Linked DNA regions of Mytilus edulis. The protein of the gene in region 1 purifies or fractionates together with the protein of each later gene. This does not show direct contact. Links are inferred from orthologs where the notes say so. Each region holds a gene or a part of one and is shown on either strand. Other genes may lie near its edges.

Region 1 (9,588 bases):
TGAAAGACACGGTGCATAACCATAACGGCCACTTCTGGCGGAAACGGATACTGCCACCAAAACCAACGGCGACTTTCGGAGTTTTTCCTATGATGGACTCGGACGACGACCCGAATAATGATGATTTAGACAAATCTGTTAGGTAAGTGATACAATTGCTGTGTCCACGGAATCCTCGGATGTTTTTTTGTCATCTAGAAACCACTTATCCCAACGGACATGTATTCCTTTTATATTTGATTAGCATTTTAAACTAGCGACTATGTGTTGTGCAACTCTTTTTCCATCAAAATGATAATTATTTCCGCTTTAATTAGTACAGTATTATCCATACTTACATGGTTTCGACGTAATCTTTCTTTTGTTAATAACATTTTGTGCATAATTCAAGATTTATAGTCAAACTCCTTCCTTTTCAAAATTATTAGAAACGGACCCATTCACCTAGACCCGTTTCTAATAATTTTGAAAAGGAAGGAGTTTGACTTTAAATCTTGAATTATGCACAAAATGTTATTAACAAAAGAAAGTTTACGTCAAAACAATGTAAGTATGGCTAATACTGTTCTAATTAAAGCGGAAATAATTATCATTTTGATGGAAAAAGAGTTGCACAACACATAGTCACTAGTTTAAAATGCTAATCAAATATAAAAGGAATACATGTCCGTTGGGATAAGTGGTTTCGAGATGACAAAAAAGCATCCGAGGATTCCGTGGACACAGCAATTGTATCACTTACCTAACAGATTTGTCTAAATCATCATTATTCGGATCGTCGTCCGAGTCCATCATAGGAAAAACTCCGAAAGTCGCCGTTGGTTTTGGTGGCAGTATCCGTTTCCGCCAGAAGTGGCCGTTATGGTTATACACCGTGAAAGATGTCATACAACAACGTCATAAATATTAAGTTTGTAACAATTAACAAACTAATCATTCAAAGAAGAGAAACATCGCAGTATTGTTGTAAACTTGAAATAAGCGAATCTATATTGATCCCAATAATACGAGAAGCAGTGATTGAACAACATGGTTATAATTATTAATCAATAATTAAGTCAAGAGTAGTAATTGTACAAATACTTATTCTATCTATTACGACACTGATGAAATATCAAAAATTGACAGATTTATTCTACCTATCAAAGTTCTAGTTGTGTTTGCTTCCTATGAAGACATTAATTATTTTTCATTCTATTTATTGAAGCATAATAAAAATCAAATTTGAAGGACCGACCAACCCAACATTTTATAAATGATATTTTTTTTCAAATGGAAGGCTTATTTCAAAGGCACGCAATCGTCTTTTAAAGAAAAACATTTTTCAATTCTCTTCTGTAACAAACTATTTTCCCCAAGAAATTAAGATTCGAGCAGCTCTCAATTAAACGAACGGTTTACTCTACTGGTTGGAAGTCCGCTAAAAAGGCAATATTTTTAAGAACAGAAAAGTTTAAGACACAAATAGCTTTCTGCAAAAGCAATACAATACCAAAAAATGTTTTGGCTAAAATATTGTTCATTAGAAGTTGTGCTGTTGCATAACTGGCGCGTTTAAGGGAAGAGTTGTCTTCACAAACCACACCTATGTGTCTGGACCAAATCAAGAGACTGTAATCAGGGGTTGTCGTATAATTCATGTCTGTAATACTGTCTTTTCGTAAACTGTTTTGTTATAAATTATGCACTTATTTTTTCGATTGAATTGTATCTCATTTTTTCATGTCGGGACCTTTTATAGCGGATTATACGTTATGTGGTTTTCTCTATGTTGATTGATTGATTGTTGGTTGCTTAACGTCGTCCAGTGGTAAATAGTTCATGCATGTTCAGGACGAGAACAAGTTGACAAAAATACAATAGGTAGGTCTTGTAATACTAGAGGCCATCTGGGATGATGTGTTCGGGGAATGTGGACTGCCTCTTGAAAATAAGGGTGTATTGGATAGGAACAGAAATTTTGCCTTGGAACGGACCACCCCTTAACGAATTTTGTTAGGGTTTTTTAACGTGCAAAGAGCGCGGTACTCTCTTTAAACGAGGCATCGGATTAAGCGCCCCATTCTGACGGGACGTGGCTGCAAGGTTGATACATCCCGCACAGTCAAACGGATGCCCCACTTCGGCAAGCGTTTTACTGCCGGTCGGAAGAAGACCAAGTGACCATATTTCTATTCCCCAGTCACCCTTTGGTGTTCTCAATGTTGAGATTCTACGCGGTATTTGACATAACAACAGGCGATCTTTATTTTTATTGTTGCTTCAGTTAAGTGTACGTTAATCCGTGGTTTTATTAACTCCTGCAAAACTATGGATACTATACGAGGTAGCAGAATGCAATTCTTCGTGTACGAATGAGGTAACAAGATATTATTGCAACTAGATATCTCTACACTATATAAAAAATCAAAATCAGACTAAAAATTATTAGTTGAACTGTGTCAATTATAACGCATAAAAATAGCTATCTCATGATCATTCGTTTCTTTTAAATCTAAGTGCATGGTGAGTGCTTCAGCAGCGTTAATTTTGGCTGTTAACTACATGCACAAACAACTAATTGTATAAGGAAATGGATGAAATAATTCTGAATAAAACAAGATCGCTGGCTCTCGTCCCATGTGGAATTTACTGATCCGAATTATATATCATATTAGGTCACTATAGCACACTTTGTAAATGAGGGGCGAAAGATACCAGAGGGACACTCAAACTCATAGATCGAAAATAAACTGATAACGCCATGGGTATAATTGAAAAAGACAAACAGACAAATTTTATTATATATCTATATATCATTTTATTCTGGTATCAATTAAGTTGGACAAAGGTATACAGAAAAACACATTAGTTAACATAACTTGCATATATGTACATTTGTTGAGGAAGCATTAAATATGAGTTTTTTACAACGGTATGATCAGAATAGCCGACAGATTAACATCAGAGAGAATCCAGTTTGTCATTTATAATTCTAATAAATTGGCACAATTTTCGAAGTTTAGATTTCTGTTTTTGGTTCATAATAGCATTAAATTTTAAGACATTACAGTTCGTTAGGTATTTCTTGTCAATAAGTAGTGTTCTATCTGTCAAGAGACTGTTGCATTCCATTACATAGTGGTATTCGTCACCTATAGCAACTCTGCAAAACGGACACTTTCTCTGTTTTCGGGGAATGTTTTGCCATCTACCATTTTCAATCGGCAGTTCATTGTCCTAAACCACGACATTGTTATTACATCTTTATCATCAAGTACGTTAAGGTAGTGTTCGAAATTGTGTGATGTCTTGTATGGGCGATAATTCAGGGCTTTAGGCGAATCGTTTACCTTTCCTGACCATGACTGTGTAAACTGATCTTCTAGTCTTTGTTTAATTATCGATTTAATGTTAGTTGATGTGTTTAAGTGACCATAAGTAAGAGAATCCACAATTGTCTAGAATACTTTTCATCTTGTCTAACGATCGCGATCGAAATGTTGTTTCTTGTGCTAACTGGAAAAGGTATCTAAACATTACAGCAGCGAGCTTACTTTCTTTACCGGTAATTAACTTTGTCCAATAAGATACAATTCTAGTTTTTATATATATTTCTAGGGGATAGCGACCCAGTTTTCCATAAATGAAGTCGTTTTAAGTAGATGGCTTAAGATGTAAAAGTAGCTTAAAAAAATTGTTTGAACTCTTTCTAGTATATCTATGTTTTCGTAACCCCATATTTCGCCTCCATATAGCAGAATAGGTTTTACCAGTAAGTCAAACAAATCTACATGGTATTTAATTGATAAATTATAAATTCTTTTTATTACACATGTCACAACGAGACAAGTTATCTCGGATTAAAAATGCCTCAATGTGAGTATACTTTACAATAATTACAAAAATCACTTGCCAGCTTAGTACGAATCTAAACTTTGCTAGCCAAATAAAAGATTGTTGACGTGTAATAACAAAAGAAAAATCAATTGAAAATAACTAAAAACAACTGGTAAATATAGATGAGGTCGTTGGGTTTTTTTCTTCAAGAATTTTCTCACATTTCGTCTTCACAGGCGGACCTTTACTAATAACTTACTACAATGTATGGAATTTGACCTAAGGCGAAGGTCGTACCGTGTCCTATAAATATGCTAGTATTTTTCTCTGAAATATATGCCACTAAATGGCCTTCTTAAAAAAATAAGTTTAAAAAATAGAAAACTGGTAGTTTTACAGACGTGGCTTTTATAGATCTTATAAAATATATATTTATTTTTCTTTATTAAGATATACATGATATACGCTTTTGAGTTAATTGGTGTTTAAAATTTGACAATATCGCAGCATTTTATGTTTATAGTACATGTGTTTAACATGGTATACTTACTTTTACTGTTTATAGTTAATAGTTGTTGTAATCATAGTTAGTTTTTATAATGCTTACCAGTGTGTATAAAGCTTATCCACTTGTATATGCTTAGTATAAAATTGAGAATGGAAATGGGGAATCTGTCAAAGAGACAACAACCCGACCAAAGAACCGAAGGCCACCAATATGAGTCTTCAATGCAGAGAGAAATCCCCGCATCCGAAGGTGGGCCTCAGCTAGCTCATTATTAAAAATGTGTCCTAGATTATGCTTATTTTTGTTTAAAATGAGACCTCTTACCGTGAATGTTTTGCTTATCAAAAAGTTCCTTGTGGAAATGTCAGTGTACAAAGTTACAATCTTGTTTTTAACAAAAAATGTAACTTAAAAGTCTTTTTTACAAGATAGGATGATTTAGAAAGAATTTTTACAGATTTTGTTTCTTCTGTATAGAGATTTAATAGACAATATATGATATATATTGTATAAATTTACCAATTTGGCAAGATACATAAACATCATAATACAATAATTATCATAAAATAAGCAAGGTTTATTTTTGTGATAATACACAACATGCAAAGAAATGAAGTAAAATATCAAGTATAATGAGGTAGATTTTATACATAAAAAAAATTGAAAATATATATACAAATTATAAAACCAGAAATATCAGAAATATAGTTCTTCAAATCAAAAACGAGTTATCTCTCTTTATACATGACAGAATCTCCACTCCAATATGTTAGTAAATTGTATTCTATAATATTCTCTCATTTATAATTTTAAACAATTATGTGAGTATTTCTGGTGTTAAAAGTGCATGCGAATCAGTTTTATTTTTGTTTATTAATGTTTATATGAATGTAATTGGTCCTTCGTAGTTTATATGATATAGTTTGGGTTTTTAAACTTTAGACATATCTCTTAGGTGTGTTCTACTTTTGTATTCTGGTTCTAGACAATAGGCCTACATACTCAGTATCTTATACAATCTTCTTATTTTTCCATTTTTTTATTATTTGTACTTGTGTTATATTTTATATAAAAATTTGTGTTATACTGTAGACAAAATAAGTCAAAAAGTTCATTGAATTATATTCTTGAAGACAGCGGAAGTGTCGCCTGAAAATTCGAACGCTCCTTTCAAATCAGACCAAAACCCAAAAGAGCAAAGTAGAATGCAACATGGTGACTTCACAGTGATTGCGTGGACATTTATTAAGATAGCCCGATTTATCATTTAAGTAAAAGCCCTGTTTCTTTGAAAAATTAGGATGTCATCAAGGATTGAAATAAATTTCAGTCGGTTGTTAATGAGATGTGAAAATATGGCAAAAGAAAGAAGTTTGTGGGACTGGAGAATTGAGAAGGTAAACAGACATATGATAAATGACAGCTATAACATCATAAGTTTAGTCCAAATAATTATGACGTCTGGCAAGACGAAGGCGTCCCAGAAAAAAAACCTTTATTGACTCCAGGGGAGGGGAGTTATATTCAAAAACACAAAGCAGGAGCTGAAAAATACATGTTCATCACTGAAATTATCGAGATAATTTTACTCTGTCTCTGACGTCCAAAGGCTGTTTTGCCAGATAAGCTTGTCTGGCAAAACAGCCGTTGGACGTCAGAGTAATCTCGTACTAATCACTGAATATGGAAATTATACATGTACAAATTTACATTTGTATAGCACAAATTATCCCCTTTTGCTTTTTAATATTTACATGCATGAGGGTAGTAGAATCCGGGTCCATTGGCGCCCATTCACGTTCGCACCCACTCATGTTCGACCCCTTTCACTTTCGCACCCTACATGTTCGCACCCAAAGTCCGTTCGCACCCTACATGTTCGCGCCCTATTTCAACTTTGTAATCAAGTAGTATTCTTATAAGTATTATTGTTTTCATTGTCTCAAAATAAAGTGATACAGCATTTTTTTGTGTTGAATAAATCTTAATCATGTTTTGGATAGTGTATTGTTAAAAAAAAAATATTCCTTTCTAAATAAAGTGGGATTCTGTCAACGTTTTATTTTGTGTTGAATAACTCTTTATCATGTTTTGGTTAGTGTATTACTATAACATGTATAACTTTGTTTCATTGACTTGTTTCAAAATGAAGTGAGATTCTGACTACGTTTTTTTTTTTTTGAGTCTTGAATAAATTTTATCATGTTTTGGTTATAATAGTGTATTGCTATATTTTATTGTTTCATTGTTTCAGATCAAAGGGACCAAGCTGTTAAAAACAATTATCTTTTGTGTTTTTCATTTATAATCTTCAATCTTTTACTCATACCAAGCTATAAATACATTCAGTATTTACACGAAAGCAATTAAAAACAACAATGATGATTTTCCAATTATTCAACTGGAATTTGAATTAAAATTGGGCGCGAACGTGTAGAATGCAAACGGACCTTGGGTGCCAACGTGCGAGGTGCGAACGTGTAGGGTGCGAAAGTATATTGGGCGCGATACCAGGGTAGTAAATCAGGTTAAACAGTCATACACGAAAGCAAAACATTTTTGCTCAATCTCACTCTATACATGTTATATGAAATTTGTGAACCCTGGTTATATCATTTTGTGTTACAAGCACACTGTGTAAGTGTTATAAGTAACACATGTATGTATTGTTAATATAAACATTTTAAGGTATACATGTACATGTACATGGTAAATGAATGATGTTATGTAATGATTTCTTTTATTAATTCCAGTATGTTGTTGCACTGCAAGACCAGTTATCTCAGATTAAGAAGTCCTCAATGTAAGTATAATTTACATTACTGTCAATTAAGTAATTATTGCGATGTTTTTACTATTGCGAAAAATGAAAAATGCGACATGGTTACAATTAATTTGAACTGGCATTTGAATTTTTTTTTATGAAGTAAACACTAGATTTTTCACAATATCATATGTTATTACTTCCTTATTTCCAAGATGCTAAAAAACATGTCCCTTTTGATACTTCAACTTTATAAACTTACATGTACATATGATATATATATATATATATATATAATATACATGCAATGTTATAGTGGAAATTTAAAAAAAATAATTTAATACTCATTTTGATTTCATTTTGATTATTTTTCAGGAAGCCAGGTCAGGATATGCTAAATGAATACACTCGTAAGGTGGAATTCTTGAAAGGTTTACTTCAGGCAGAAAAAATGGTAGTTGTTTTTCTTTAACTGGAATTTTGAAAGTCATTTGACCAAAATAATAAAACTTTTTATGCCCCATTTATAGGCATTATGTTTTAAGGTCTGTGCAACCGTCCGTTTGTCCGTCTATCTGTCCGTTTGTCCGTCGGTCTGTCCAGCGACAGGTTAAAGTTTTTGGTTGAGGTAGTTTTTGATGAAGTTGAAGTCCAATCAACTTGGAACTTAGTACACATGTTCCCTATAAAATGATCTTTCTAAATATTTTAATGCCAAATTAGAGATTTTCCCCAATTTCACTGTCCACTGAACATAGAAAATGATATTGCGGATGGGGCATCCGTGTACTGGGGACACATTCTTGTTATTTATCATGTAACATTGAATATGAATTGAATTATTCAATATCATTCTTAATACATGTATATATATGTTGAAATAATTAGTTCATTTGTATTGTGATTATAAAGTAACAGCATGAATATATAATAGACAACATTCAGTTAATTTAAAGCTCAAAAAACAATTAAATCTGTTGAAAATATGTAATTTTTTTTTTAGAATAATAGATGGAGTACAGTGTTATATAACTTTTAATAATTATGCCATAACATACTTTTGGTTTTGTTAATTAGAAGTTAAAGTTTATTTCTTTATTTTTTTCTTTTACATGTAACAGCCAACTGTAACAGAGAAAGCTTTAGCTGCAGAACAACTTCCTAATGTGGCAAAATCTGCTAAGGGACATAACTCTGTTTCATCAGCAGAATTGCAGAAAAAAACAGTTGCTAGACATCAAAAAGATTTAAGAGAAGAGTTATTGGGACCAGAGACAGATAAACTTGATGGTAAGTAAGTCTAAAAACTTAAATGTTTTAATCAACAGTTCAGGTGTAACGGTACTTCTTAAATCTGCATGCCTATATGTACTACTCAAGACATGATCATAAAGCTATAGAAATTTATAACTACATGTATATGGCATATGTAAACATTTTTATCTCCTTTTGTTTTCAACTACCCGGTATTCATTTTCTCGGTTTCAAGAAGGAAAATGCAGAAACGCCCCTCTTGGGAACTTAATTTATAAAGCTTTATTTTCAGAATATAAAATATTGTTACAAAAAGCATGTAAAAAACAAATATTTGTCAACTATAGGTTTTATTTAACAATGTTTAACCAAGCTTATTGATATAAACCATGCCTGATCTGGCTAGTTTATACGTTACATATCCATCAAACATAAATGCAGTGAAGCTTTAAAATGTTTTAGAATTGTTTCATTAACTAATGCAATTTTATATATAGAGGATTAGAGGTCAACTGTTGGAAACAGGCTTCATGGATCATCCCTTTTGAAACTCAATTTCATTGATATAATTTTTTTCAAGTCAGATTACGTACTTAAGCTGAACTTCATGATATATCCCTTTACATTTTCTCAACTCCTTAAATAAATTTATACAGTGCTCTCTGCAAAGCCCTTTTCTTAATTTGAAATGATATTTTTCCTTAGACTAAATAACTTTAATTATATTAAAAGTTGTCTTTGTAGATAGTGGATTAAGACAAAGGAATGTTAAAACAGATAAAGATATAGATATCGTTATACAGCATCAACATCAGATGCACGAAAAACTGGCAGAGGAAATGCTGCAATTGACCAGGAATCTGAAGGAGAGTATACGAGACTCAGGACAGATTGTCAGAGAGGATAATAAGGTATGTAGATCAAATCTAAAAAAAAACCAAGAGATTTCAATAGGGATTTAAAAAAGAAAACAGCCAAATACCACCAATGAGTTTTCATCACAACAAAGAAAATCCCTCACCCTGAGGCTGGCTTCAGCTGGCCCTTAAACAAAATGTGCACTAGTTCAATGAAAACAGAGGTCACACCAAACTCCAAAACATATAAAATTGAACTAAAATGTATAAAAAAAACAAGACTAACAAAGGCCAAAAGGCTCCTGACTATGGACAGGCACAAATAAAAGGCTTGGTTAAACATATTGAGTGAAATCTTCACCCTCCCTCTATACCTCTAGCAAATG
Region 2 (8,953 bases), on another chromosome or scaffold:
GTAGAATAAGTTATAAGGGATGCAACAATGTAAATGCTATAGTTTATAACAGTATTTGTACAATACCATGCTTTCATTACCACTACATTGCAATTGTAAAATGCTATATTTTGTTTACATATCGCCTATTTAGTAATGCAAAAACATAAGCTTAAGTTTGTAAAATTCAAAAAGTTGTAAACTGTCCATTTCTTTGACAATGAACATGATTATGATGATGGAAAAATCAAAATATTTGATTGTGTGTTATTTTTAATTTAATGGTTCTTTCAAAGGTCAGTACAATAATCAACAAATTATTTATTTCATATTGAATCATTCAGCTAATTTTCATCAAACAAAATTAAAGTTAAAACAGCCAGTCGCTGTCCACAGTTTTCATATGGGTGGAAGGTATGCTGGATTTTGGGGTTGGACCATAATAACAAGTCATATGGTGATATTTGTCAATCATGGAATCCCACAAACTTACAAAATAATATCAAATTAAACGATTCTTTTTGGGCAATTATTTGTGTTTCTTACTACGGTACTTCAAGAGGCATTTCTATATTATAATGATGATTATTTCACATGAAAAAGCGACATTTTATGGAAAATATCTAGTAGCGATGCATTTATTTTGTCTGTTTTTACTTAGTAGTTTTGTAAAATAACATTTCTAGTCTTTGTGGTACTTAAAAATCATAATTCAAAAGAAGTTTCTTTATAAATACATCGATGTTCCATTCTCAGTTTTGTGCACAGGCACTGATCTCAGATTCCCATCCCCCATATATACCTTAAAAAGTGTTATATACAGGTATAAAGAAAAAAAATCTGAGACAAGTGCCTGTGGTTTTATGTACTAATGTTTTTTTTTTCTTTGAAAGATTGTATACTGTTAATAGCTATGATTGTTACTGTATATTGTATTAACTGTGAGAGAACCATAAATAGTAGTGGGAAAAAATGTTTGATATAAATTTAGTTGTATGAGGGGGCAGTTTTTTGCAAAGACTGTCAACATACTTACAATACATACCTCATTTGTATATAGAATGAGCATTATTCATACTTTCTATGCAATAACCACTCATGTACAGTTTCAATGCATATCAGGATTCAATGTTCTAATATAGATAAAGATCTGCTTATATACAACAGTATTTGCTTATTTTCTACATTATAAATCTTATAAATCAGCCATATATTAACAGACATGATGTTTTCCATTTTATTATTTGTTTTTGCCTATTACTTAAAATGTACTGTTTTTGCTACTTTTGATGAACAAAAGTTTCAAAACAAAGAAGACCTGACCAATTTTAATAGTAAACTTAAGTAAAAATTTTGAAGAAGCAAATTGAAGATCTGGAACTAGAAACTTTTTGGGAAGTAAAAATTTTGAAGAAGCAAGTTGAGCATTTTGAACTAGAAACTTTTTGGGAAGTAAAAATTATGAAGAAGCAAGTTGAACATTTTGAACTTGAAACTTTTTGGGAAAAATTATGAAGAAGCAAGTTGAACATTTTGAACTTGAAACTTTTTGGGAAAAATTATGAAGAAGCAAGTTGAACATTTTGAACTTGAAACTTTTTGGGAAAAATTATGAAGAAGCAAGTTGAACATTTTGAACTTGAAACTTTTTGGGAAGTAAAAATTTTGAAGAAGCAAGTTGAACATTTTGAACTTGAAACTTTTTGGGAAGTAAAAATTATGAAGAAGCAAGTTGAACATTTTGAACTAGAAACTTTTTGGTAATTCAAGCTAATGTTAACCATGTCATTTGATTCTTGGCTCAATACGAGCCATTTTGGGGTAATTTAAGGGTAAATTGTCATTTTATCATTTACTTTTGTTTTTTGGATAAATTAGCTTTGCTAGTTTAATTAAGAAAACTGATAAGATATTCATAAATTTTTTAATAGTATACTTCATTAGAATTTAGAACTCATAAAAAATGTTTGAAAAGTCCAATTTAAGGAGATAGACTTAGGTTAAGGGAAATAACTCTTAAAATCATCAGTACGTTGGTGTCAACCATTTTCAAAAATATATTCTAAGCTTCTACGTTACATAGTTTATTTTTAATCTGTTGCAGGTAAATGCTTTAAATACATTGATGAACTTGACTTTAACAAATGCTTTACTGATTTAAAGAGTTATCTCCCTGAACCAAGGTCTACCCCCTTAAGTATCAAGTATAGTGCTTCTAATATTATATTCATCATACTGTTTTATTCTTGAGAAATAGATGATGATTCATGCTTTACATTGTATTTTAACAAGTTGAACATTGTCTAAACATTTTATCTTGGATATTTTGATAGCAACATACCAAAAAAGATACAATATTTTTAACAAACAAAAGTAGAAAACATCTAAAACAAAAAGTCATGATATAGAACATAGCATTGCACAAAATTCAATGATATACAAAATATAATTTTCTGTCTAAAGTATTTATTATTTATTTGGTTATCATATGCTATCATTGTTTGAATTATGATAGCGGAATCTCTTTTGAACATTACATATTTTGGTATATAATATATTTAAACACTTTATTGGAGTCATACGAACAATATTTTACATTACCTATGAGGGGTAATAATTCCTAGCAAACATGGGTTAAATTAAATGTTTTAATATTTGATGCTGGAATTTTTATCCAAAACAAAAATTATCCTTTCTTTGTCTCATATTCATGTTTTATCAGTTTATTTGGAATCCTTTATTTTTATATTGATGTGACTATTTATTGTATATTTTTTAATATTATGTATATACAAATATATCAATAACTTTGTACTACATTTTCATGCTCTTTTAACTTCATACTTAGTGCAATATTAAAATATTTGTTGTGTAGATATGTAGATCAAATTTGTGTCTCTTAGCTATAAAGGTTGTTTTAAAGTCTTTCATTCAACCTTTGTAGCTAAACATACTGTATCAGTTTTAAAAAATCCAGAGGGAATTTAAAGTCTTTTTTATGCTATAACATTTTTATAAACAAATATTCAAGTGATATTAGAAAATAATTTGTTTAAATACAGGACTTAATTATAGTATAAACAAGAATTGAGAAAAACCTAGAAACAAGATAACTTTTTTCTTCATATATATAAAAACTGTTTGCATGAAAGAAAAATCATGAGAATTTTCAGTATCTTTCATCTATAAATTTCTTTAATGTTTTTTTTTATTAAATTTCAGAATTGAACTGAAATAAAGAAACGAGAAATGTAATTTGAAAAAAGTTGAACACCAAAATAAAAGACAACTTGTTTTATATATATTATCTCGTTTTCTAAAAAGCAAAAAACATTTTCCTTTTCCCTGTATCTGCATATGAGTAAGATTTCATTAGTTCAGTAGTTTTCTTGACACATTCAACCAAGGATGTCAAAAGTTAAATTTGTTGAAAATTTGTATTGTGGTAAGGGAGATAATCGCCTCTATTTAATAACTTACCTAAATCTAACTGTACTACACAAATAGCAGTTATACTTGGTATCCAAGTAGGTTATTCAAGACCAATAGTAACAAAAATTGACCTTTCTTACAGTAATTTAAAAAATATAACAGTAATCAGGTTGTTAGACACTTTTGTTGTTTTTTTATGTAACTGTTTCTTTTGATGTTTATATATTCACATATATATATATTTAGTTTATATCATGGCATAATACAAAACCATCAGAGTAACTAACAGAATCAAATAAAAATATCTTGCCTATTTTTGCATCTTATTTCATTAGTACATATAAAAAAGAAGATGTGGTATGATTGCCAATGAGACAACTATCCACAAAAGACCAAAATGACACAGACATTAACAACTATAGGTCACCGTACGGCCTTCAACAATGAGCAAAGCCCATACCGCATAGTCAGCTATAATAGGCCCCGATAAGACAATGTAAAACAATTCAAACGAGAAAACTAACGGCCTTATTTATGTAAAAAAATGAATGAAAAACAAATATGTAATTAGCAGTGAATATGGATGTTTGTCCATGGTTCATTGGTCAATGTTAAATTTCTGCTGTTTGGTGTGTATTAGATACTTTAAGCAAATTAATCTAAGTCTATATTTGGTATATGAAATGATTTTAAGGTGTTATAAGTCCATTACTCAGATATATTATGCAAAGGGTAAACTATATTAATTGTATGAAATTATTGCAAGGTGAACATGTTTGTTTGATGGGGTTGATCCTAATCCTTGTTATAATTTTATGGCTCAAAGAAATTGATTCGATTTAAGGCCTATTATGGGTTTGCTAGATGCTTTATAAGTAGTAGTATATAGCTGTATTTGATGCATGAAATCATTACATGGTTTTCTGGTATGTTCGTGTTTTACTGACCTCAACTTTGACCTTGATTTAATTGATTATTGTTCAGGTATGAGTGATTGTGGTAAGATCTATTTCTTAGTTACTATTAGCATAAGCTTTAATACAATTGATGTACAGAATGATTGTATGGTGTACATATAAAAAAGGAGATAAGGTATGGTTTTCACAACTACCCACCAGAGGCCCAACAAGTATGTAAACGATAGTAACTTAATGTCACAACAAACCATCAACAACAAGCAAAACCAATATGGTGTAGTAAACCTTAAAAAGCTAATTTCTAATCAATGACAAACCAGCAAACTAAATTCTAAAAATATGACAGATAACAACCTGTCTGCCATAAAGGGTTTATCTTCCCTTTCCTCATTTAACTCATTTAACTTCATTTGTAAAGGTTAGATTTCATGATAAGTGTTTTATAAGCAAGAGTTCATTATTTAGTGTATGGAATGGTTGATCTGATAAACTTGTAAAGTGTAAATGGCAGTACGACAGGGTTACTGGGTTATCTGATCTTGTCCATATTTATACGGATCATAATTTATTGATGTTTATAAACATTAAATAGTTTATATTCAGTCTATTTTAAACCAGCACCCATTATCCACTTGCTGGTTTTAATCTGACTGAGTTTATTTGGTACTTGTAGTAAAACTTTAATGTGAAAGACTTTCAGCATAAATACAATTGTGAAAAATAGGCAAAACATTTGTGTTAAATTTGCATAAAAAATGATAAAAGCTAAACCTTGTTTTTCTTGTGTAACTTTATTGAACATTCTTCAAAAATTTCTAAATCTGCACCTGCACATGGCATCTTCTGTCTTTTTCCTATTTTATAAAATAAAAATAAAAAATTGAGATTGATGAACCTGAAGATTAAGATAATCAGTATGTTGATGGCGATTTAATATATGGCTGGAGTAAACAAACATTTTTTTCAGAATAATGCTTGATGAATTAAGTGGTAATGCGGCTGCTAACAGAGGATCAAAATGTCAGAATTTTGTCTCAAAAAGACATTTATCCCTCATTTTCACAAGCACTTGTCTCAGAATCCCCCTTTGTATACCTTAATATAAGTTAACTGTGTTATAAAGTGTTAATTCAGAGACAGTATCTGTGCCTAATAATTTCCCTCCACCTTTAAATTCAGTTCAAGGGTTCTGGAAAACAATCTAATGACTTGTGATTAATCAAAGTGAAAGTGAAAGTAGAGTTGTCCTTCTTTGGTCAATGTCATAAATGCCACGTCAACCTCCAGGTGGCAGTAACAACAAACATGGCTTCCATTAGGGAGAAACAAGTTCTTGCTTTAAAACGAATGCTTAATTTTAACACTCCTCCAACAAAATCAAGCTCAGCAGAGCCACAATGGAAAGTACTCGTCTATGATAGGTTTGGTCAAGACATAATCTCGCCGTTATTGACCGTCAAAGAGCTCCGCGAGTTGGGAGTAACTCTTCACTTGAATCTTCATTCAGACCGGGATTCTATTCCAGATGTTCCGGCTATTTATTTTGTATTACCAACTGATGACAACATTAGAAGAATATGTCAAGACATACAAAACCAGCTGTATGACTCGTATTACATGAATTTCATATCTGCTATTTCCAGGCAAAAACTTGAAGACATTGCCCAAACAGCTATTCAATGCAATTGTGTACAACAGGTTTCCAAAGTTTTTGATCAATATTTGAACTTTATTTCATTAGAAGAAGACATGTTTACCCTAAGAAATCTTGACAAAGAACTATCATATTATGAAATAAACAAAGGTGACGTCAAAGACACTGAAATGGAGCAGATCATGGATACTATCGTTGACAGTTTGTTTTCTGTTTTTGTAACACTGGGTACCGTGCCCATCATTCGATGCCCAAGAGGTAATGCAGCAGAAATGGTTGCAGAGAAATTGGACAAAAAGTTGAGAGAGAATCTTAGAGATGCCAGGAACAGCTTTTTCACTACTGACAATATACAGGCCGGACAGTTTAGTTTTCAAAGGCCATTATTAGTTTTGCTCGATCGAAATCTAGATTTAGCCACTATGCTCCATCATACATGGACATATCAAGCGTTAGCACATGATGTATTCAATCTTCTCCTGAACCGAGTTGAAATAGAAGAATCTATAGAAGTTAAAGGTCCAGCTGGCAATATGATGACAAAAAAGAAAAAGAAAAGCTATGATCTGAATCCGTCTGATAGATTTTGGGAAAAGGAAAAGGGTAGTCCATTCCCACAAGTTGCAGAAGCTGTTCAAGAACAGTTAGAAACCTACAAGACACATGAAGATGAAATAAAGAAAATGAAATCGGCAATGGGTCTTGAGGGTGATGATGAAGTAGCATTCAGTATGATGAATGATACAACCGCCAAACTTACTTCAACAGTAAGCTCATTGCCGGAGTTGCTAGAAATGAAGCGTTTGATTGACATGCACACTAACATCGCTACTGCCATGTTGGAACACATAAAGCACCGTAAACTAGATGTCTACTTTGAAATGGAAGAAAAAATGATGAGCAAGGCACTTTTAGACAAATCGCTGATGGACATTATATCAGACCCTGATTTAGGAACACCGGAAGACAAAGTCAGAATATTTATCATAGCATTGATCTGTGGTCCACCAATGAGTGATGCTGAAATTGATCAATATTGCGTAGCCTTGACTGGTGCTAACTGTGAGGTAGCACCAATCACGTTCATTCGTAGATGGCGAGCTTATAATAAAATGAATGCAGCGCCAAGTCAATATGGAGGAGGGGGAACAACAACTGTAGGAATGTTTAACAAATTAATGAATAAAAGTTCACAGTTTCTTATGGAAGGAGTTAAAAACTTGGTTATTAAAAGGCACAATTTGCCAGCCACCAGAATTGTGGATGGACTTATGGAGTCAAAGACATTGCAAGAAATTGAAGACTATCGTTACTTTGACCCAAAACTTTTACGTTCAGATTCATCATCAGTTCCTAGAAACAAATCTCCATTCCAAGAAGCTTACGTGTTTATGATCGGAGGTGGAAATTACATTGAATACCAAAATTTAATAGACTATGCCAAATCAAAATCATCATCAAGTGCTGGACAAAAGAAAATTGTTTATGGGTGTAGTCAGCTTGTTAATGCAGCAAGATTTTTAGAACAGTTGGGCCATCTTGGCCAAGAAATGTAAATTTAAGGGGGGATAAATAAATGTATTGTGAAATTAAATATTAATTTATTCAGTTTTTGTAATGAATCCTTTTTTGTGTGTCAATGGTTTGACAAGCTATACTTCATGTACATGTACATTTTACAACAATATAAAAAAAGAAGATATTGTATGATTGCAAATGAGACAACTCTCCATACATGTACCGGTATATGCCATAAGAGACAAAATTACACAGACATTAACAATAGGTCACTGAATGGCCTTTGACAATGAGCAAACTCCCTACCACATAGTCAGCTGTAAAAGTCCCTGAAATGAATTATGTAAAATAATTATGATTAAGAGAAGACATATAGCATAAATTCAAGCTGTATACATCCATTATTTTGATCTCATTTTCATTTAAATCGGTAAACTTTAAAAAAAAAAACATTTTGTCTTGCCTTTTGTGTAGCAAAATTTAATGGATCAGTGATCGAGGTAAAGTTTTTGTGATCAAGTCCATTTTGTAGATATGCATTATGGCAACTTATTTTGAATTTTAAAATTTTTGTAAGGCTTTCTTGTCTGACTGACAGGTTTTCTCTAACTTGGCATCAATTTCATGGTTTATAGGTCAATGTAAAGTTGTTGAGGTTTGTTGTTTCTCAGACACTATAAACAACTGATTTATGTATTGTTATATAAAAATGAGGAGATGTGATATAATTGCCATTGAGACCATTCTCCACAAGAGACCAAATGCAACAGAAATTTACAAGTATAGGTCACGGTGAGGCCTTCAACAATGAATAAAACCGCATACTGGTAGTCGGGTACTTGTATAAAAGGTTTGGCAAACTTTCTCCAAAACTGAGGTCGTTAACGCAAAACTGACATCAGTTGAAATGATCAACAGGTCAAAAGTCTGTCTCCCTTGGAGTTTTAATGAATAGAATATTTAGCAAAAACAGGTATTCAGAAAAGTCGTGGAGGAAATCCTCAATTGAAACCTTACATGAGTTATTGCCCTTGAGATATGATTTTAACCCATTTATTCAGACACCATATACAGAAACTGTTTAGGGTAAATATGATTTACAAATAAAGTCAACACAGCTGAAAACATTATGGGCCCTCTATAGGAGTTATTGCCCTTGAAAGATGGTTTTAACTTAATTTTTCATCTTTTGCAGAAACTATCATTTAACTAAAACTTTCAAGTAGCAAAAATGTTAAATGCATATTTAGGTCTTTCCACCTTTTCATGTGGAAAGACCTATTGAATTTCTTCTGATTATATTTTTATACGACTGCAAAAATTGAAAATTTTTTGGTCATATATTGGTATCAAGTTGGCGTCGTTGTCTGCGTTGTCGTCGTCAAAAATAAAAATTAAACTTAGTTTGATTTTAACAAAAATTGAATCCTTGAGGTTCTTTGATATGCTGAAT

The links.
Region 2: the proteins of vesicle transport protein USE1-like (region 1) and sec1 family domain-containing protein 1-like purify together in Homo sapiens (affinity purification with mass spectrometry; 3 studies listed by BioGRID and IntAct, counting the BioPlex papers as one, with this or other methods). This does not show direct contact. The link is inferred for Mytilus edulis from reciprocal best matches to the Homo sapiens genes USE1 and SCFD1.

What each region holds. Positions count from the first base shown.
Region 1 is NC_092347.1:63,336,993-63,346,580, reverse strand, and holds the start of vesicle transport protein USE1-like, read left to right. Parts: upstream 1-5,513; 5' UTR 5,514-5,628; coding exon 5,629-5,724; intron 5,725-7,080; coding exon 7,081-7,130; intron 7,131-7,466; coding exon 7,467-7,545; intron 7,546-8,212; coding exon 8,213-8,381; intron 8,382-9,089; coding exon 9,090-9,256; intron 9,257-9,588.
Region 2 is NC_092350.1:47,219,067-47,228,019, forward strand, and holds sec1 family domain-containing protein 1-like, read left to right. Parts: upstream 1-5,591; 5' UTR 5,592-5,633; coding exon 5,634-7,538; 3' UTR 7,539-7,590; downstream 7,591-8,953. UniProt on the Homo sapiens protein: Plays a role in SNARE-pin assembly and Golgi-to-ER retrograde transport via its interaction with COG4. Involved in vesicular transport between the endoplasmic reticulum and the Golgi.